Danio rerio: one gene and its partners. The protein of the gene in region 1 purifies or fractionates together with the protein of each later gene. This does not show direct contact. Links are inferred from orthologs where the notes say so. Each region holds a gene or a part of one and is shown in the gene's direction. Other genes may lie near its edges.

Region 1 (4,213 bases):
AGGCCTATATTTTTCTGATAGTGCAACCTTGACGAGGTTGCATGCTGAAAGAATGATGATGATTTCAGTGTCAACGTAGGCCTATTCAGCATTGTGAATGTGCTTTACTGCAAAACATGCAATATAATGCAAAGCAGACATGGGTCACATGCTTAGCTTTTTATTTTATTATTCTATTTTAAATATCTGTTCATTCTAATGTCATTATTTTTTATGATTTTTTTTTCTTTTTAGATGATTTGGAAATAGACAAAAAGTAACTGAAAAAAGCTGCTTAATTAATTATTAGCCACTCTCAATTTAACACTTAAAAATACATTAATCGTTATTTATTATTCTTTTTTTAAGCTGGCCCAAACTTGATTTAAACTTTAAAAATAGTATATTGACAGAATTTGCGTTTATTGATTTACCCGAAATTAGCCATTCTGAATGCTGACTGAATTTTTTTAAATATATATATATATATATAGCCTAAATAAATCTTATATTTTTGCATATTTCTAAGTCCAAGCAAGAATATATTAGCTCAACTTATATACCCACATGAAAAAATATAGGCTATACATGTTTTTGACATATATGAAATAAAATGTGCTATTACTGTAAAATAATAATATGGTAATAGAAGAACTAATGATATATACCAATCATAATATATAAACTTAAATTTTTTTGTAAGATTAAAAGATTTAGAAAATACAATTTAATAAATATAAACAAATAGTACTACATTTTTACAACTCTGGCTATTATATTACAATATATCAACGTTTCTTTAGTAAAAATTATATTACATATGTTTACAGTAGATTATCAGTTAATACGGCTATGCTCAACTAACAGAGTTGTTTTGAATACTATAGTATAAATATTAATAGGCCTAAAATAGTAGCCTTTGGTTCAAAAGCACTATATTATTTATTATAAATCACTTTAGTATTTTTTTTTCATGTGGGTAAGTTTGTTTCTACAATATTTTTATTGTATTGGGAATCACAGCATATTGGCTAATTTATTCAACAGATAACAATTGTACAAAAGTTCTGAAGTTTTTCCAACATAGTTTGTATTTATATGATCAAAATGTGCAATTCTCCACGTTTTTTAAAAAATAAGTTGGATATAGTTTCAAGAAAAGAAGTTTATATGAGTTAAATATAGTTAAAGTTCAAATATAAGATACATTTTCAATCAAATACATACAGAAATTTCGAATGAGGGAATTATTAGCATGAAAAATTAAATAAATTGATTAAAAAAATGTTTATTAAAGTGTTTATTAAAAATGTTCTACATCGCAGTATTTTAAAACATCCAGCCAGGGGCCTGTTAACAGACAACTCCAGCTAGAGGCCGATCTGCGTGTCTGCAGACCAGCCTATCTCAGCCATTTTGTTTCTACGCCTCTTCGCCATGGCGGAGATGGACGACGGTGATGAGCCAGGTTTAGGACATTCTCACAGCGGTTCTTCTGGGTCCAAATCAGGGGGAGACAAAATGTTTTCCCTGAAGAAGTGGAACGCGGTGGCCATGTGGAGCTGGGATGTGGAGTGTGACACCTGCGCTATTTGTCGCGTTCAAGTTATGGGTGAGTGTTTTTTAGCTAACCGGCTAGCCGATAGCATTTCTAATCATTCTCAGATAAACAGACCAAGAATGGAGGCTGATGAATTTGATAATATCTGCCTGACACACGACCGAGTCGTTTTCAGCAATATAACACACTGCTGTCTACCGAGACAGAATTTGTTGAAACCTAAAGTGATGACATAAATGTTTACTCGAACATTGGAAAGTGCATATAATGCATGACATACTGTTTAAATGCGACGAGCAAATGCATTAATGCTTCAAAACAGACGAGAATAGAAACATAGAATGGACATTATATGTAAATATTAAACTTACATTCAAATCCATATGACGTCTAAGATATGTTCAATAATGTATAAATTATGCAAATATACATGTGAAGGGGAAAAACATTAGTTTATGATTAGTTTAACAGTTTACAGCAAAATGGAGATTAGGTAGGCAGTTCACATTATTTGGTCAAGTCAGTGTAAATATTCAGACTATAATAAATGTGCACAGTCAGACTGTGATTTCATATGATCTCAGCAAGTCTGTCCTGTTTAAAAGCAACTGTGAAGTTAAAACTGTATAAATCTTATTATGAACAATTAAGACTTTGTAATATCTAGACTAACCAAAATGTCAAAATTTGACCCTATAGGAAAAATGACTTTCCTCTGCTGGCATTCTTTTTTTTCTCTCTTGACATTTAGTTCGCTAAAACCCACTCCTGCAAAATGGCATTTGTCAGCCTTTAAGTGATTGGGTTAAAGTTGGTTTTATATTTGCACATTTGGATTTTATCCATAATTTCAGGAAAGCGTTCTTTGCCAATTTTAAATAGTTAAGCACAGCAGCCAGTCAATTAAATAGTACTAATGTATCATTTTTTATAATATTATATATCATTTGTAATTTCAGACTGAGCAATCAAAGTAGCATAATAAACAATATAGAGATCAGGTCAGAAGAGGTCACTCTCAAAAATGAACTAATGTGCAAATATAAAACCATGTTTGGTGTACGTTTGGGCAGACCTTTTAAATTCCAGTCCAGTAGTATCTGGATGCAGACTTCATGTCTCAGCTTTGCAATATCAGACACAATGCACTCAATGGAGCTAGTGACGTCACTGTTGCAGCTCAGCTTGCAACTGCACCAAGTCTGCAGTCAGACCACTGTCATATATTGGGCAAATGCTTCACTAGCTGCCTTTAAACTGTGCGAATGAACAGACGTCACAATAAAACAGACATCACAATACCAAAGAAAGAAAACTCTCCGTTGGTATTTTCTTTTTAATTTACAACTGTATCTGAGTTTTGGTTTACTTCTAGCACAATATATAAATCCCAGCAGGTGTTTTTGAATATGTCTGATTTACTCCATTTCAGATGCCTGCTTGAGGTGTCAGGCCGAAAACAAACAAGAAGACTGCGTTGGTAAGTTAAAGCCCATGTGAAATCAAAATGTACCATGTTTATTGTGCTCGCACACATAGTTAATCTTTAGGTGAACGATTAATCAGTGCATGTTAATCCACTGGGGACATTTTTTTTGGTAATTCTGACCATTTGCTTTCATGCTTGGAGTGCCAGCCTTTATCTGTTGACATCAGCTCAACTGCTTCACTCATAAACAATAATATTAGCCATGCCCCTCTTACAATTACTTTGCTATGGGGAAATAATGTGCAAAAAGAAAGCCCCAACCCCTACTTAATATTTTGTTTCAGTTGGAAGTACATCATCATACTAGTGATGGTAAAATGAAGCTTTCTGAACAAGTGAAGTGCTCGACTCAATTGTATTGGAAAAAGGTTCGTTATAGAGGTCTGCATTCCCGCGGGCGCCACAGGACCCGACCAGATTTCTGCGGCGCGGGAATAAATTTCCAAATAAGTCGCGGGAGCGGTCGGTAACAGGTTTAATTTAGGACGGGAGCGGGCTGTCTAGCAATATCGCGGATATTGCTATGTGAATGAGAGAGAGAGAGAGAGAGCTTTGCCTGTGTGTGTGCTTGGTGCTTGTGTGTGTGTGTATGTTAGTGCGCGCGCGAATGAGAGAGAGAGAGAGAGAGCTTTCCCAGATAGCAAAATACACTCAGGCCAGTTCCGGCTAGATTCTCGCCTGCCAGAGACTTACCACTCAGCCCGGCTCTGGCTGCCGGACTCCGGATGCTTGTGGACTCACTGCCCGATTCCGGCCCGAATCAATCGGGCCAGATGCGGCAGCCTTAAGCAAACCGACGCTGCCGCATCCCTGCCGGAATCGGACCGATAGTAATGTGCGCTGCGGCCCGGAGCTGGCGCGACTCAGTATTTATATATCTTTATATAAAACCTTTTGGTATTACATTGGTACTTGATACATGGTATTACAAGCCTTTGAGTTGATATAACAGCAAACGCCTGTGTGTCTGCTTGGTGCTTGTGTGTGTGTTAGTGCGCACGCGCGCGTATGAGAGAGAGAGAGATTTGTCTGTGTGTGTGTGCTTGGTGCTGTGTGTGTTTATACAGACAGCTTGGCTGTCTGGACTGTATAGCTGGGGGATTTTCAGTTTTGTTCTCCCCCGCTCTTTAGCGGGATCGGGTGTGGCGGGCAGAAAACGGGGCGGGTCGGGCAGGGGGACAATA
Region 2 (2,986 bases), on another chromosome or scaffold:
AGAAGATATTTTGAAGAAAGCTAAAAACCTGTAACCATCAACTTCCAAAAAACTAATTCTTTGGAAGTGGATGGTTACAAGTTTCCTACATTCTTAAAAATATCTTCTTTTATGTTTAACAGAAGAAAGAAAGTCCTAAAGGTTTGGAACAAGTGAATGGTGGGTAAACGATGACAGAACTGGCATTTTTGCGGTGATCTTATTAACCCTTATGTGCTGTTGAGGATGTTTTCATCCAATCTGGGTAGGGCTGGACGATATGGCAAAAATTTTATATCATGATATATTTCTTAATTTTGGTCGCTATCGATGTGGACAATTTTAAAAAGCAAGGAAAAAACTGCCAAGAATGCACACAATAGATGTCTGTACTTTATAAAAGTCTACAAACTGAATTGGCAAAGTCTATAATACCTCCAGGCTCTTACAACTTTTAAAAAAAATAAAATGTCATTCAGTGACAAATGGTACAATGTATAGGATCTTATATATATATATATATATATATATATATATATATATATATATATATATATATATATATATATATATATATATATATGTGTGTGTGTGTGTGTGTGTGTGTGTGTGTGTGTGTGTGTGTGTGTGTATATATATATATATATATATATATATATATATATATATATATATATATATATAAATTTATATCAAAATACCGGAAATAGGGTTAAAAATCATATCACCTTTATTTAAAAAAGAAAATCTATTGTGAGATATATTGTTATCAAATTATTGTCCAGCCCTAACTCTGGGTCTTAATTTGGCCACAGCCTTCTCTGTGTTTAATAAAATGGAATGATTTTTGGTATTTTGACATACTTTTGGAAAGTTCTTTTGCAAAAAACCCAGCAATACAATCTGGAAAAACTGACTACCCTTTCATTTTGTCCAGGGCTGTTTTTGCCCCATTGACTTGAATTATAATGACATCTTTTGATTGAAAAGATGGCATATAATCATGCGTTCTTCATTGTATTATTGTGTGTGTGTGCGTGTGTGTGCGTGCGTGTGCGTGCGTGTGCGTGCGTGTGTGCGCGTGTGCGTGTGTGCGCGTGTGCGTGTGTGTGCGTGCGTGTGTGTGCGTGCGCGTGTGTGTGCGCGTGTGTGTGCGCGTGTGTGTGCGCGTGTGTGTGTGTGTGCGTGTGTGTGTGTGTGCGTGTGCGTGCGTGTGTGTGTCTGTGTGTGTGTCTGTGTGTGTGTGTGTCTGTGTGTGTATGTGTGTGTATGTGTGTGTGTGTCTGTGTGTGTGTGAGAGAGAGAGACCTTTGCACGCTTACAGTACCTTGATATGTTTGAGAAAATCTAAATTAGCTGCTCAGCTCTCAGAACACTGTAAACAGTAAACAGTAAGTGTATTTATGCACACACACTATAATCTGCGGCTTTACTCCATAGAACTCCTTATAAAAGCCTGAAACGTGTCTAGCACAGACCTATCTAAAGAGTTACTGCTACCAACAGATTATTAACAGTAATCAGTGAAAACCAGCAGCAATCAAGAATGCATGATTATGTGCTGTCATGGCTTTGCAATCAAAACATTTTATTATAATGGAAGTCAATGGGGCAAAAACATCCCCGAACATAACGAAAGAGTAGTCAATTTAAACAATACACAGGGGTTAATGTACACTAATCCATCCCATGCAGGTGCAGATGTGAACGCGACCACACAAGACGGCGAGACCCCTATGTCTTCTCTGGCCTTCCTAGTGAAGGAGGCTCTAGAGAGCAGTGTGGAGGATGCCAAAGAAATCGGCCACTTCTGTACCCATGTGGCACATCTTCTGATCAGCCACGGCGCTGGTCCAAGCTGCTGCCTGAGCGCCACCGACGGGGAAGTGTGGGAGCATTCCCTCACCTACACCAGCTTGGAAAACTTCGACCTGCTTTTTCCCCTAACAGTTCTCCTTCTCCAACACAGTGCCTCCTTCGTCTGCTCTCACCACAGCGCCTCCTACTGGACAGGACCACAGCTGATATTCACCCGACTTGCTGAAGCTCTCCGTGAAGCTGTTGATGCTGCAGAAGTGGCGGATGTTTTAGCCAAAGCCGAAGTGCTTTTGGATTTAGCCAGGATCTGCTCTCCGGCCATCCCTCCTCTTTTTCCTCGCTCTCAACTGCCTGTGCTGGAGCAGGGCTCGATCCATGAGCCCCTGCTGGAGCTCTACGGCAAACTAGAGGAGCGAGAAAGCCAACCCATGCCGCTCAGGTGCCTTTGCAGGAGACTGATCCGCAACTGTCTTCTGCCCTGGCCGTTTGAGGAGAAGGTCAAAGCCCTGCCACTGCCAGACAGATTGAAAGACCTGCTGCTTCCTGAAAACAGCTGGAAGAATAGAGCCGGATGGGACCGATTTAAACCTCGAGGCTCCTCACACTGAGATACAAACCTGTGCGTGTGTGTTTGTAAATATTGAGCCTTTAATGAGCACTGAATCCATTAAATCTCAGATTAAAGCGACTATTAAAGCTTGTTTCCTATAATCAGTGATCTAAGGGAGAAACTAGTATTAAGGGGATAGTTCACTTTGCTTAAAAATGAAAATTATGCATCATTTAGTCCAGTGTTTCCCAACCCTGTTGCTGAAGGCACACCAACTGTCTTTTAACCTCTCCCTAATCAAAGATGAGCTGAATCAACTCATCAGAACACAAGAAGAGACTCCAAAACCTGAAGTTAATGGGTTAGAAAAAGCAGCCATTCAAAATGTGTACTGTTGGTGTTAGGCCTGTCACGATAAGGAATTTTTGTTGTGTTATAGATTATCACAGAAATTGTGGTGATAATCAATATTATTATCATTTTGAGAGCATTTTATGCCACTGAATATATAATGATTATATAACAGATGACAAGAGGCCATGGTCTTTAGCCTCCTTTTTAGAGCAACCAACTTCCATACAAAGAATCGCCTGCTTGATCCCAGCTCAGAGCGGGTTGGATTTGGTAGGATCAGTGGGT
Region 3 (3,500 bases), on another chromosome or scaffold:
AAAAACACGATTGTCTGTTTGTGTGATCACTCAGATGGTGAATTAAAAGTTTTGAAAACAGTTTTTTTGCACTTTAATATAGCTTTGCATGTTTAATTATTCGTCCCTTGATTCACAGTGATGAGCTTGCCTATTGTTTTCACTTTATCGTGTCCGTGTGTGTGCAGGGACACAGCAGCGTCTGCCGGCAGTACTGCGCGATGTGACAGGATGCTGAACCATCACTGCAGAAGGAACCCAGAGCTGCAGGAGGAGCTGCAGATCCAGGCAGCGGTGGCGGCGGGCGATGTTTACACCGTCCGCAAGATGCTGGAGCAGGGCTACTCGCCCAAGATCAGAGACGCCAACGGCTGGACGCTGCTGCACTTCTCTGCAGCAAAGGGCAAGGAGCGCTGCGTGCGCGTCTTCCTCGAGCATGGAGGTAAATTATTTTATTAAAGCATTCAGTGTGACTTTTAAAACTATGTTAATTCAAACATTCATCATCATAAGGTCTTCCTAGGGTCACTCAGGCATTTTGTTATTGTCCCTATTCGTACTTTTTCGTACTTTTCAGTTAACGGTTAATCGGTTATTTTGATCATCCTTAACAACAGTCAATAAAGACCACAAAGATATATAAAATATATAAACAATAAAAAAAAAACATTTTTGAAAATCTACACATAATGTTTAATAATCATTTTCATTAACACCCGCCAACCCGCCAAATTTCAGCTGTGGTAGATTAGACAGACACTCCGACTAGCCACTTGTTGGAAATAATTTTTGAATTGTAGTTGTCTTAAAAGCAGGGTTCTACAATAAAGATGGCCCAGTATGCGTGCAAATGTGATCCTAAAATCGAGAAGCAGCATGACTGACAAAAGTAATTGTGTTCGCGTGAGCAAAAGAAAGCAGATGAATAGCGAATGAGAGGATGATAACTCTTACGTGCACAGGTGAGGTAATGCGCTTGGCTGTTTAAAAAGCGTGCGTGCTCCCGTTTCCTTTCCTGAAAATGCAATTGGTGCAATTCATCGGTTCTCTTTGAAATAGACTTGACAAAAGGTGATGCTCGTGCACCCACAGTACTCCTTCTTTCAAGAGCTCCTAATTTGTAAAAAGATGTGTTTTTGTAAGCAGCAGGGGTCACTTCCACCATTCACTTTCACCATTCTTTGAATAGATTATTAACAGGCCTAACGTAGCGCGACCATCCTTTAATTATCACACGCGCTATGTTTTCCACCTGCTTTCTTTTGCTTATGCCGAGTTCAGACTGCATGATTTTCAAAGTAGTCGTGTCACAGATGTTTTCACACTGCATGACTATCTGGGCTTGCGTTTCGTCGCTGCTTTGTTTACACTGCAAGATGGATCGGCGACAGGGGCTTTCACATTGCATGACTTTACTATAGGGAGAATCGCCGACAACTTCGTCCAAACTACGTCTCACAGCCAAAAACACGTAGTATATCTTTTGTTATTAAGTACATAATGAGAAAGAAGCCTTTAATGGGGTTGAACATGTACATGTTTGCTCATCTGGGTTTAAAGGGAATTAGCCATTTCCCCTCAACTTAAGTTGATATTAAGCGAATTTCTTTCTCTATGAAATGTCAAACAGACACGGTTGCTCCTGAGTCCTGTCAAACCTCCACTAGTTTTTCCTCCATTTCATGGGTACAAATAAACCGAAAAAGAGCGCTTTTAACTTCTCCCCCAGCCTCCCGCTGGCCTGCAGCAGGTATACACACACGCACACACAAGTGAAAGCTGCTCTCTCGTTGGCTGTAGGCGATCGCTGATGTTATTTTCAGTCAAAACTCAATTCACACGGCATGATTTGAATTGCCGACAGCTCCAGATATTTAGCATGACAAATATCTCACAGGCATCGGCGACTCATCGGTGATTCTCTCAGATCGCGTCTTTGAAAGTTCATACTGTGTGATTGTCACTCACGTGCACGAGCAGCGATTTGCCCGTGATTTCAGGCATTTGTCGACGATTTCTCAAAACCTATCGGCGAGCCAAAATCAGGGCTAAAATCACGCAGTCTGAACTAGGCATTAGTTGTTTTTGTTAATGTATGGTTTAGCTATATTTTGTACAATAAGATTGCTTTAATAGGAGATTGACTTCCCGTTTAGTTAACTGGTGATCTGAGACCTTTGACCAGGACACAGACTATGCATTGTTTCAGATACATGACAATATCATTTTTAAAAAGAAAAGTTTTGTTTAATAAAAAAGTGTATGTATAGAGCTATATTTTGCTTGTTTTGACACATTATTTAAAATGTATGGCTAAGAAATAATAATTTATTGTTGGTGTGGTCAGAGATAAATTAAATAATTAATGGTAAATCCTTAATTTTGAACCCTGAAAAGTCATGTGAAATAAAAACTAATTGCTATGAAACCACAACCCATATGCTCATGCACATTGAGCAAGGTCATGCACAACACACAAAGTGAAATGCATGCGGACATGACCCAAAATCAAGTCATTTTAGCATGTTAAAGTCAAATTTATGCATATAAAATATGTTTTCCTAACAATAAAATTGTGGCTAGTGAAAATGGAGAGTGGCTAGTGATGTTCACACACATTCACACGGGGCACAGCTTCAACTCTTCCCAATTGCTTTTAATGGGTGACGTCAGGCGTTGCCGAACTGCATTGTGGATCCGTCAGCGCTGCTTCAGAGGCGTTGCTCACTGCAGAAGTTGAGACTTGTTTAACTTTTCAAGCGCCGACGGAAAGCCAATCAGATTGCTGTATGCAAATACACCAGCTCAGACAGTGGCCTATTGCTGACTAATTTCATTGACTGATGCGGCTACGACGATCGCATCAGCCCCAACTTTCGACACGCCCTCTGTCAAGCGTTGACGATGTAGCCCTGTGTGACGGGCGTTAACGTCAAGCCCTGTATATATTTATATTAATGTTTTGTATTTTTTATGTGAAGGGGATGGTGGTGTGAATGTTTTCTTCTTATTTTATTTAATTTCTTTATGTGCAGTTTTTATTTTTCACTCTGCCTTTTCGTTTTAGTTTTGCTCGTTTAAGGTAAACTTAATGAATTTTAGAAATATTGCTTTGGCATCTAACTAAAATAAAACAAGTTCAATTTTTAAATACATTTTAGTGAACTCAATTACCCTTTGATTAGGCACTACTTAATTGTAGGTGGGAATCTTCTCATGTAATTGTGTAATTATGATTTTGAAATGATCAAGATCTTTTTCTCAGTAGAACAATTCTGATAATCCAGGTTATTATTGTGCCTGATGTGATTTATTATGTCATTAGCTTCCGCATCTCTTCTGGTCATCTATTATGCTTTAAAATACCGGACTGGTGTTCAACTGGTACTTTCATAGACAAACGCTGCCAACAGTTAATGTTTGTGCATTAAAGGTACACATATGTGCCTAAAAAATAAGAAAGCTACTGTTTAGCTACTACTATATCCTTTAAAGGTGTCAATGCAGACCATTTAGGTACA
Region 4 (4,281 bases), on another chromosome or scaffold:
ACAGAATGTTACGTTTGCACACATTCACAAATTACATGTAAATGCATCAGCTTTTCACAGTGTAACACTCACTACTCAAGTATTTTTGAAAGGCCGACTTTTTACTCATACTTTGAGCAGTGGTGTAAAGGAACTAATTACAAATACTCAGATTACTGTAATTGAGTAGTTTTTCTCAGGAATTGTAATTTACTTAGTAGATTTAAAAATGTGTATTTTTACAAGCTTGAGTACATTTTTAGTGCTGTATTTTTACTTTTACTCCACTACTTTTCTGTTGTTTATGGAGATTAGAAAAACTGTCTTGTGATTCGTGTCCAATCAAATCACACAAAGAAGTTAAATCGCATCACAATGAACTACCTCAAGACAAGGGCGATTTATAATTTCAGCAAACAGTTTGGAAGCATTAAACATGTCCAAGATGTCTAAATTTTTACATGCATTGACCCAGAGGCTGTTTAGATGCATGTCTTTGAAAAAAAAATTAAGGATGTTTACTGTATGATGACCAAAATGGCCTTAATCAAAGACGCAAGACATCAACATCATGTCAGATTGACATTGTACCCTAACGTCAATGTCCAACCTATACCAAATATCAACGTCTAATGATGTTACAGCTTGTTGTTGTGTGGATGTTACCACTACGTCTATCAGACGTTGGATTTTGGTTTCCATACCTGACGAATAAGTGTCAGTACTTGACGTCAATGACATTGGTTTTAGATGTTGGCTGGACGTTGGATTTTGGTCACTTTCCAACACAACCTAAAATCAACCAAATATCACCGTCATTTGACGTCATTATTGGACATCAAAATAACATCCCTAGACCCTGGCTATTGAATTTTGGTCACCTGACATCACAACCTAAATCTAACCTAGTATTAACGTCTTATGATGTCGTGTGCCTGCTGGGCAATAACTAAATGCACTACAGAATGTTACGTTTACACACACATGCACAAATTACATGTAAACAAATCAGCTTTTTACAGCGTAATACTCACTAGTCACTACTCTCGAGTACTTTTGGAAGGTCTACTTTTTTTTGGAAGGTTTACTCATACTTTGAGTAATATTTACAACAGATACTTTTACTCTACTTCCACTACATTTTAAGCAAGTAATGGTACTTTTACTTGAGTATGATTTTTCAGTTCTCTTTCCACCACTCACTGACTGAGTAATATTTACAACAGATACTTTTACTCTACTTTCAACTACATTTTTAGGCAAGTAATGGTACTTTCACATGAGTATGATTTTTCAGTACTCTTTCCACCACTGGTGGGTTTTACACACATTTTTTGAGTCATTCGCAGCAGGAATGGTCAAAGTGGTTCCTGGCACCTGAAAGAGTGAAGCTCCTACGCAGCTGGTGTACTACGGTGAGTGGACAGTAGGCGTCGCTGTGTGTCTCTGCGCTGTGGCGTATGACGTTTCACTCGCTCTAATACGGAATTCCCAGTCATCTCCAGTCAAACACACACAGACTGAGCGCAGGGCCTCGACCTCACACTGCTCGACGTTACAAACACACACAGGTAAGACTAAAAATCTTTAAACACGTGTCAGGCGTCCCGGTTTGACATAAATGAAAACTAAATGGACGTGTCTGGCAATGTGTCGATAAGGAAGAGAGACATTTTTGTGATATTACACACCAGTTAAGAATAGGTAGCCATTTTACATCATTATATCTCAAAAGCCTCGGAGAATAACAGTAGTGGGTTAATAACAAATGTTTGTCTTGATTTTCAGGTTATATTTAAATGACGTACGTTTGGTTGACATTATGGTATTAATAGTTCCTCTTAGCGGCAGTTTACAAGGAAGGGTACCTGAAGCTAACGAGCTTGCTACCTAGCATTGCTAATCTATTGATGCTGTTTACAAAACAATATCGCCATATAAATGTTCATGAATTAAATACTTAGTGCGTTTAATGTGTTAAGAAGTATATTATGGAGACCTAAAGCTGTAAACAAATGCTGAGGCAAAACGAAGAGTCCTTTACACACATTCACATGAATTCTGCTGTCTCAGATGCCTACCCTAGACAGCACTTTTGGCCCAAAATGTTGTCTACTGGGTTGGCAGTTTTTGAGACATAGACATTTTAATTGGTTTTCATTAAGTTTCCTAAACCTCATGTGCCAGTGTGAGGTAAGTTTTCCTTTGAAATTATAACCTCAGTCAGGAGTTTTCAAAGTGGTTGGTTTATGAGTCATGCTAATGTTTGGGTATGTGTCAACACACATCAGTAGGTTTTATATAAATGTAAGGGGTTAAAATAGTAATGTAGTTTTGTGCAACTGTCACTCATAATGTACTATCACATTATGTTAGGGTGTTGAGAAAAATTATTTGTTGCGGTTTGTGTCTTTTTCAGAGTTTGTCTAATTTATTCTGAGCTCTTATGAATTTTTGTATTGGTGAGAGTACATACGTTTACAGAAAACACAGTAAAACGTGACAGTAGTTTATAGGACAAATGTTTTGTCAAGCATATTTTGGAAAAGAATCACTTGGCATATTACAAGATCAATTTATAATAACAACTATTTCATTGAATTTTACCAGTGCTTGTCTAAAAGCTAGATCTTATTTTGAAATTCATTAAAAAAAAAAAAAAAAAAAATATATATATATATATATATATATATATATATATATATATATATATATATATATATTTGATCACTTAAAGTTTGTACCATTTAATTATTTGTGATTATATGCTAGCAGAAGTTAACAAGTAATAGTTGACATATCTCTTGTGTGTTTTTGATATGCTTCACTAGTGCTTTGCATCAATGATTTACAGACGCTACTTGGATTCCATTCTGTTCTTGATTTCATTGGCAATATAAATGCAATAAAAGGGATACAGATTTTTCTAAAAATGAACAGTGAGCACCATTTTATAAAGACTGAATTAATCTCCATTAATATAGGCCTTGTGGCTTAACTTATCAATGCTTTCTGTTTGCCACCAAAATTCTTAATTAGAACGAATACTTAGTAGGGATACCCTAATAAATGTTTGTCTTTTAATGAATGTAAATGATTAGTTCTAGTCTGATTCTTCTATTTTCTTTTTAGTTGTACTTTTCTATTTTCAGCTTCTTGTCTTATACTGACACTTTAGCTTACACGGAGAATTCAAATTCTGTTTTCATTTACTAACATTTACTATTTACTTGTTTCAAACCAACTTGAGTTGTTTTGTTGAACACAAAAGAAGATATTTTGAAGTATGTTGGAAACCTGTAACAAGTTAGGAAAAGCATGCTATGAAAGTCTGTGGTTACAGGTTTCCAACATATCCATATTTTGATTTAAATCCAACATTTTGTAATATAAAGCTCAATATTGTTTGGAAAAAGTTGAGAATGAGTAAATGGTGACAGAATATCATAAATGAACTTAATTCAAACACAACACTTTAATCAAGTGGAAGGATTAAGCTCATAATTATAGAAACTATAATTATTTTAAAGTATGTGATGTGCGGTTATTTAAATTGCAGTAAGCAGACATGTAAACCCTAGGGCTGCACGATATTGAAAAAATATGATATTGCGATATTTTATTCATCTGTGATATATAATTGCGATATGAATACAATTTAATTGATTTGGACTGATTGTGATGGTTTTGTAGGAGAGAGAATCATTCATGAAATATAATAAACACATTAAACGCTTGGATAAATACAATAGAGCTAAATTAAAAGTAAAATAAACAGCGCTATATGATTTTTGTTGGGACTCTAACAGTATTTAGCTACAGAAATCGAATAATTAAATGTAAATGAGCACTGTACAGTTTCATAAATAATTTAAAAAAAAACTATATCATTAATTAAAGTTACAAATGGTACAATTTCTAGTGCCTGAATGTTCACACAGTGATAGGCTTTAAAGAGCCCATATTATTCATGAAATAGGGTCATATTTTGGTTGTAAGGGTCTCCAACAACAGTCTAATATGCATGCAAGGTCAAAAAACACTTTCATGGTCTTATTATCTGCATTTATTTTTACCTAATTATCCCAGCGACTCCCGTATGAATCGTCCAGTGATTCAATTGTTCCCAAACCCCTCCTTAGCGCGAAGCTAATCTGCGCTGATTGGACCGATGACAGTCTGTTGCGAATGGTTGACACTAACTGCTTTCAGCCAGAGACAGAGCGAATAGCCAGCAGCTAATCAACAATATAGAAGTAGTCAGAGTGTATACACGCTCGATAGTGTAAGGCGTGGAGTTTA
Region 5 (3,500 bases), on another chromosome or scaffold:
AAACTCTTTCCAGTTATGTCTAATTGTCTATTGATCGAGACTTTACTCCAAATTGAAAGAGTAAGATTTGAAACACTAGATTGATGTACTGTTCTCGTAATCAGATAACATAATACAGTATCACAATACAGTACCATTTATGTCAATTGATAGTTGATTAGCATTAGTAGAATAATTATTACCACATATAAAGGATTTTTTTTTTTACATTTAAAAAGTGTAAACTAAGAAGTTTGCTCATTCATATGTGCTCATATTTTTCACATTGAACACTAAGAGCTATAAGGAATGTTTTATAAAAACAATATAGAAATATAAAGTTATTATTAATCAAACGTATGCATAAACTAACAATTACAGGTCAAACAAAAATAAACCAGTATCGTCAAATAAAATGCAAAATGTAAACACTGCATTTCAAGATTGCAACTTTCTTGTGATGTTATTCATGATTGTGTCTACATTCATGTAATGGTGTGTATTATAGCGCTCATATAAATTATACAAATATTACACCAGAAAATGAAAAATAAAGCAAAATACGAAATGATAAACTTTTTTTTAGTTCATTTGATATATATATATATATATATATATATATATATATATATATATATATATATATATATATATATATATATATATATATATATATATATATATATTGTCATATTGCACAGTCCGTGTTTGATGTAAATGCACTGCTCAGTACAGCTTCTAAACATGAGCGAGTGCTCTTTTTCTCTGTGGACTAGAGAAAGGCACAGATATGACAGGCCTCATTGAATAAATAAATGAGACAGGCCAGCTGTGACACTGTTTGAGACTCACTCAGTCTGACAGCACCGTGTATCTTCCTCTCTGTGTTTTCTACCTTTCTGGTCTTCCCCATCCCCCGTTTGAAACACTTTCTTGTCTCTCTGTCTTTCCCCAGCATGCACCTGGAGTGCCCCGTATTCTAGTGGGTAACCGGCTACACCTGGCGTTCAAGCGACAGGTTCCCACAGAACAGGCACGGGCATACGCAGAAAAGAATGGCATGACATTTTTTGAAGTGAGTCCTCTCTGCAACTTCAACGTCATCGAGTCCTTTACAGAGCTCTCGCGCATCGTCCTGATGAGGCATGGGATGGAGAAGTTCTGGAGGCCCAACAGAGGTGAGGTTTCCTCTTGAACATGCTCATTATGACAAAAAAATTTAACATTATTTATGATGTAAAACACAGCAATGTCTGTTTACGAAAAAGTAACAAATATGCAGATTCTACCTGACATTTTTAAAGGGATAGTTCATCCAGATATAAAAATTTGGTCATTGTCTACTCACAACCTTTACTCTTCCAAACCAGTTTGCGTTTTTTTATGGTGTTGATATTAATTTAATATTAATTTGACACATTTTTACACCTTTACAAACCTCAAAATTCTTACCAAAATTAGAATATACAGGAAAAAAATGGAAAACCGATTAGATAAATTATTTATACATGTGTATATGGGATTGTCGAAGGCCTGTAAACTCATTATGAAACCAGGGGGGTGTTTCTGGGAGCAAGGGGTTGATGGATAGAAACAACCAAAAAGTATACGAGCAATTGAATGCAAATGTCAACCTTGCCATAAAAAAAAAAAAGTTTTCACTAAAATAGCAAAACCTTTTAGGTTTTGATGGAGTACTGTAAAAATACTCAAAAATGTGTTTTCAAACAATTATATTTGAAAGTCATAAAGTGTTTCGCATTTGTCACATCCATAATGAAGCTTTTTCTTCATAAATATAAAATTGTAAAATAAAATTAAATCAATAATTTTTGTTATATGGAGAGCCAACTTTTATAATTTTAGTTAGCATTGTTTTCGTTTGGGTTGGGCAGGTTAATTTACAGAATTGCTACAAAGTAGGGCTGTGCATTTAATCTCATCACAATCGTGATTTGAAACATTGCGATTAGCTAATTACAAGAGGCTGCAATATGAATATATATATTATTTACTTTCCCCCACCCAGAGCAAACGCATGACTGCTATCTGTGCACGACTGTCTTACTAGCCAATTGAGTGAGCACACTTGCGTTCGGCCAATCAGAATAGTGCAACAGAACATGCGTAATGTCCACAATACAAACAAACAAACTGGAAAGCGCAGACGAGTGGGATGATGGCATCTGATGTTTCAAAAGCATTAATAGACAAATCAATATCAAGGAAAAACAGCATGTCGGTAATATGGGAATATCTTGGTTTCAAAGTCAAAGACACTAAGCAAAAACTGGTCATTTGTAAGAGCTGTCGCAGAATTTCTGCCAGCAAGAGGAAATACAACAACCAGCACCTAAAAAAAGCACCACAAGTGGCCATATAAGAAGTGTGATTGAGCTGAAGCTTAACTAAAACAAAATCACAATATCTGTGAAAGAAATCGCAGTTAGATATTTTCCCCCTAATAGTAGAGCCCTACTACAAAGTATGGTGTAAAATGTGCACTTTTTGGTCGCATCTATAACGCATGTTTATTTTCCTCATTTAATATCTAAAAATGTTTACAGATTAATATTTTTCTGATCCCTCAACTCGGTGGTTAGTTGTTTTAAAATATATATACAGATGTTTCAATATACAGTTAACGTATACTTTCCATGTGAATTTATGTTTAGAGTTCTTACTGCAAATATCTCATCCATAATGCTGGAATTGCTCATACTCTTTCCAATAGTAAAAAGATTAATAATAATAAATATATACAAACAAAAATCTAAGAGGAAAGAAAATAAATCATTACAGGGTATTGCATAATATGATCAGTTTTTTTTTTTAGTTCCGTTCTGATTAACAGTATTAAAATGTGATGTATTGAAGAATGATGGAAGCCTGTAACCATTGACTTCCATAGTACAGTGCTCTGCAAATACGAGTTCGCCCCATTTTGAAAATGAATATTTTTATACATTTCTCAGTAAATTGGGGTTATTTATATTATTGCATTTAAACAGAATGGATTTATTAAATCAATATATTTATTAAAATAATATTAAAATAGTCACCAAACATATTTAGAAAAGGAAAGATTTTTGAAAATGTAATTTAATAATTACCCCTAACATATAAGATTGGGTGTACAAATTTTTAAACAATTATTGTTGGTTATTTTGTTAGATTAGCTCCAGATGTGGCTTCAGTACTGACTGAACTAATGTATCCGCAGAAATATAATATTGTAAAGCTTCATATAGAAAATATGAATTTAAATGAGATTTGTGAGTGGTGTACTCGTATATGTTGAGCACTGTAATTGTTTTTCTATTGAAGTCAATGGTTACGTGTTTCCAACATTCTTATGTACATCTTCTGTTAAAAAACAGCTTTGGAACAAGTCAAGTGTGAGTAAATGATGGCAATTTTTGTTTTTGGGTGATCTATCCATTTAAAACACAGTCCCATAAATACAGTGGAAATGTTTGGTTTCAACCTTCTGGGTGATGGAGAAATGCTGGCATGATCAG
Region 6 (4,000 bases), on another chromosome or scaffold:
TTCTGTTCTGTTCTGGGAAGATTGTTTCAGCACATTTCTAAGCATAATAGTTTTAAAAACTTATTTCTAATAACTGATTTATTTTATCGTTTCCATGATGACAGTAAATAATATTTAAATAAATAAATAAGTAAATAATATTTGACTAGATATTTTTCAAGACACTGCTATACAGCTTAAAGTGACATTAAAAGGCTTAACTAGGTTAATAAGGTGAACTAGGCAGGTTAGGGTAATTAGTCAAGTTATTGTATAACGATGGTTTGTTCTGTAGATTATCGGAAAACAAATTAGCTTAAAGGGGCTAATAATTTTGCCCCAAAAATGGCAAAAAATTTTTTATTAATAACTGCTTTTATTCTAGCTGAAACAAAACAAATAAGACTTTCTCCAGAAGAAAAACTATTATCAGACATACTTTGAAAATGTCATTGCTCTGTTAAAAATAATTTGAGAAATATTTAAAAAAGAAAATAAAAATCAAAAGGGGGCTAATAATTCTGACTTCAACTGTATGTATCTATGTATATGTGTGAATATATATATATATATATATATATATATATATATATATATATATATATATATATAATTACATACACGTACATACATGCATGCATACATACATAAATACATACACACACACACACATATATATATATATATATATATATATATATATATATATATATATATATATATATATATATATATATATATAATGAGAGAGAGATTCATATAATAATAATAATACTATCAATAATAATATAAAATACTAATATTTTTTCACACACAAACACGAATATATAGACGAAGTAAATTTACAAAAATATTTTAGAAGGAAAAGCTAGAAACTACAATGGTAATATTACGTCATTTTAACACTACGTCATTCTTCGTGCCCCGGAAAACAACAAACCCGAGCACGCGCTTGAAATTCGCTAAAAGAGCTGACCCAGAATCAGCTGAGCCGCTGTTTACTGCGACCAAACCTAAGTAGGTGGGGTCCTACCAGGGCTGATCTGGGAACAGCGCATATGGGCTCAAAACAGGAGATTAGCCACACCCTCTCCAATACAAAGTGGGCGTTCATGTGTTTTTTGATTGACATAAGTTACGTCTAATGAAAGAGCAGAGCTGCCCTAGCAACTCCTCACAGGAACCAATCAAGGAAAATCCAAGGATGAACTCAACATTTTTCTGTTTAGGGAGGCTGATAGACGAGAGGGATCGTGGCTGAGAGCTCAATGGACCAGGTTTGCTCAAACTGTAAAGATGAGATAAACATTAGGTGTTCTGTATTATAATTACCATTACTTTAAGTGTAAATAACCAATTATAAGTAGCTAATCGCCTTATGCTACGATATTGTTAACATATGAGGCTCTTTATTTACCTTCTGATGTGACGCAACAGTATCAGTGGATCCACAGTCCGAATCTTTGAACAAAAGGACAGCTTTAGCCATGTTCTGGACATGAGATTTTTCACACAGAGAGACAAGTGATCAACACGTAGGTTTGTTTTTTTAAAACAGCTAAATCGTTCAGTTACATTTGGTGGACTGAAATATAACACAAGTCCGTCAAGTCCGACAATTACATGATGTACCAGTATGGGTCATCGGGCTGATGTGAAGATGAACCACAGAAGCAGCCCAGCAAAAGCTTATGATTTTCTTCTGAAATTCCTACTGGTTGGAGACAGTGATGTGGGGAAAGGGGAAATACTGGCCAGTCTTCAGGATGGGTCCAGTGAGTCACCCTATGGATACAACATGGGTAAGACACTGTATTGTTTAATTAATATTCATCAAACCCTCTACCAGATATTCTTTTTGTATATTTGAAGATTGGGTGTTGAACATGAAGTGTACAGTCAGTGCATTTGAGCTGAATCTATAATCATGACTTGTATATTATGTAACATTAATGCATCTCGTGTATGTTGTAAAAAAACAGTTACACGTATCTTATTTTGTCACTAGAAATGTTGTCAATTGAAAACTAAGACAACAACGACAACTGGCAGCTGAAAACAATCTATTCTACATTTTCTATAATTGATTAGTATCATAATAAGTATGACAATTATTTTAAGCTTACAGTGCTCATCTATTGTATTTGTCAAGCTCTTATTCACAGCTCAGTTGTAGTCGTAGTTATTAGTTACTGTTTTGGAAAAAGTAACTCTTCCCAGGGGACAAAATCAACTGCAGTGAACCCCCCTTTGGGCTTTCACAACTAAACAACATATTTTTCATGTGTCTTGCGCAAAAGACAAACAACATTTTTATGCGACTCAAGCCACTTAAAGTTATCACATAACTAATAAATTACAGGATATGTTTACACTTTAAAAAAATAAATAAAGATCTTTATTGGCATAAAAAGTAGAACTTTTAACATCCATAGAACCTTTACATTGCATAATGATTTTATTAAGACTATACATAATGACTTGCATATCACTTATTAACCAAGTGTGTGAGACGGGGTTCTTAATGAGTTTCATATCTTCTCCAGAATGCTATCGCAGGTCTGCTCGAATCTAAATTGTTTTATTTTGTCATGCAAGAAACACAACACACTACATGTGACATTTTCATCGTCACAGCATTTGGGCAAAGTCCAGAGTCTGATGAACATGGTGAATCTCTTTTTAACAGCTTAGATTACACTAGTGAGTAAATTGACGGCCAACATGTTCATTTAGGGTCAGAGGCTGGGTGGCTTGCACAGTTGTGGACTCATTTATCCAAGCAGCTGAGACATGCATGCCAGACACTTTTAGAAAAGGCGCAACAGGTTATAAGAAAAATCAAAATACCTTGAGAAAAAAAAGTTTTCACCAAAATAGTGAAACAATTTCTACATTTTTTTGTGTGCTCAAATGCTCAAAATGTCTGTAAATGTTTTGTAACATTTATATTTAATTAACCAAAGTCGCACAAGTGCCAGGAGCTAAGCAGTGGCGCAGTAGGTAGTGCTGTCGCCTCACAGCAAGAAGATCGCTGGGTCGCTGGTTCGAGCCTCGGCTCAGTTGACGTTTCTGTGTGGAGTTTGCATGTTCTCCGTGTGTTCGCATGGGATCCTTTGGATGCTCCGGTTTCCCCCACATGCGGTACAGGTGAATTGGGTAGGCTAAATTGTCCATAGTGTGTGTGAATGTGTGTGTGGATGTTTCCCAGAGATGGGTTGTGGCTGGAAGGGCATCCACTGCATAAAAACTTGCTGGATAAGTTGGAGGTTCATTCCGCTGTGGCGACCCCGGATTAATAAAGGGACTAAGCTGACAAGAAAATGAATGAATAAATGACACAATTTCACATTCGTCACATCCATAACAGAGGTGTCACATCTATAACAAAGCTTTTTCCTCATAAATGCAAACATGTAAAGTAAAATGAAATCAGTCATTTTTGTTCTATAGAGAGCCAACTCTTATCCTTTTGATTAGCTTCACTTTTGGTTTGTGCAGTTTTATTCACAGAATTTCTACAAAGTATGTTGTAGACTGTAAACTCGCTAACTTTTTTGGTCGCATCCATAACGCATGTTTATTTTCCACATTTAAAATATAAAAATGTTTACAGACTGATATTTTTCTGATCGCATAGCTTTGTGGTTAATTGTTTTGGGAAATATAAACATATATCAAAATATAACATTAACATTATGCTTTCTCTGTGAATGTATGTTTTGAATTTTTACTACAAATGTCACATCAATAACACTGGAATTGCTCTTGAACAGAGTAGTGCAGTGTTTTTAATGTCAGCATGAACTGCCGTTAACTATTTGACGTTAACTATGTTTTCAAGATTGTGATAAGTTGCCGTTTGAAACAGCCTAAAGGTGCACTCGCATTATCAAAATTTTACATGCTTTATCCACAAAAAGGTCCTTTGTCTACTGTCAGCAGTTTAGAGATATATAAAGAATAACACGCATACCTAGCAGATTTTTTTGTTGGACAGCTTGGGGAACTTGCAGGCCAA

Evidence for each region.
Region 2: the proteins of rnf7 (region 1) and asb6 purify together in Homo sapiens (co-immunoprecipitation; 4 studies listed by BioGRID and IntAct, counting the BioPlex papers as one, with this or other methods). This does not show direct contact. The link is inferred for Danio rerio from reciprocal best matches to the Homo sapiens genes RNF7 and ASB6.
Region 3: the proteins of rnf7 (region 1) and asb7 purify together in Homo sapiens (co-immunoprecipitation; 4 studies listed by BioGRID and IntAct, with this or other methods). This does not show direct contact. The link is inferred for Danio rerio from reciprocal best matches to the Homo sapiens genes RNF7 and ASB7.
Region 4: the proteins of rnf7 (region 1) and cul1b purify together in Homo sapiens (affinity purification with western blotting; 5 studies listed by BioGRID). This does not show direct contact. The link is inferred for Danio rerio from reciprocal best matches to the Homo sapiens genes RNF7 and CUL1.
Region 5: the proteins of rnf7 (region 1) and rab40c purify together in Homo sapiens (co-immunoprecipitation; 4 studies listed by BioGRID and IntAct, with this or other methods). This does not show direct contact. The link is inferred for Danio rerio from reciprocal best matches to the Homo sapiens genes RNF7 and RAB40C.
Region 6: the proteins of rnf7 (region 1) and rab40b purify together in Homo sapiens (affinity purification with mass spectrometry; 3 studies listed by BioGRID and IntAct, with this or other methods). This does not show direct contact. The link is inferred for Danio rerio from reciprocal best matches to the Homo sapiens genes RNF7 and RAB40B.

Annotation. Positions count from the first base shown.
Region 1 is NC_133193.1:44,703,754-44,707,966, reverse strand, and holds the start of rnf7 (RING-box protein 2), read left to right. Parts: upstream 1-1,413; 5' UTR 1,414-1,416; coding exon 1,417-1,591; intron 1,592-2,972; coding exon 2,973-3,020; intron 3,021-4,213. UniProt on the Homo sapiens protein: Catalytic component of multiple cullin-5-RING E3 ubiquitin-protein ligase complexes (ECS complexes), which mediate the ubiquitination and subsequent proteasomal degradation of target proteins.
Region 2 is NC_133183.1:8,437,516-8,440,501, reverse strand, and holds the end of asb6 (ankyrin repeat and SOCS box protein 6), read left to right. Parts: intron 1-1,674; coding exon 1,675-2,405; 3' UTR 2,406-2,486; downstream 2,487-2,986. UniProt on the Homo sapiens protein: Probable substrate-recognition component of a SCF-like ECS (Elongin-Cullin-SOCS-box protein) E3 ubiquitin-protein ligase complex which mediates the ubiquitination and subsequent proteasomal degradation of target proteins.
Region 3 is NC_133182.1:9,750,212-9,753,711, reverse strand, and holds part of asb7 (ankyrin repeat and SOCS box protein 7), read left to right. Parts: intron 1-167; 5' UTR 168-210; coding exon 211-421; intron 422-3,500. UniProt on the Homo sapiens protein: Probable substrate-recognition component of a SCF-like ECS (Elongin-Cullin-SOCS-box protein) E3 ubiquitin-protein ligase complex which mediates the ubiquitination and subsequent proteasomal degradation of target proteins.
Region 4 is NC_133199.1:21,267,554-21,271,834, reverse strand, and holds the start of cul1b (cullin-1b), read left to right. Parts: upstream 1-1,481; 5' UTR 1,482-1,550; intron 1,551-4,281. UniProt on the Homo sapiens protein: Core component of multiple cullin-RING-based SCF (SKP1-CUL1-F-box protein) E3 ubiquitin-protein ligase complexes, which mediate the ubiquitination of proteins involved in cell cycle progression, signal transduction and transcription.
Region 5 is NC_133178.1:25,496,171-25,499,670, reverse strand, and holds part of rab40c (ras-related protein Rab-40C), read left to right. Parts: intron 1-934; coding exon 935-1,157; intron 1,158-3,500. UniProt on the Homo sapiens protein: RAB40C small GTPase acts as substrate-recognition component of the ECS(RAB40C) E3 ubiquitin ligase complex which mediates the ubiquitination and subsequent proteasomal degradation of target proteins.
Region 6 is NC_133187.1:33,958,702-33,962,701, reverse strand, and holds the start of rab40b (ras-related protein Rab-40B), read left to right. Parts: upstream 1-1,200; 5' UTR 1,201-1,256; exon of another isoform or gene 1,257-1,537; 5' UTR 1,538-1,615; coding exon 1,616-1,781; intron 1,782-4,000. UniProt on the Homo sapiens protein: RAB40B small GTPase acts as substrate-recognition components of the ECS(RAB40B) E3 ubiquitin ligase complex which mediates the ubiquitination of target proteins.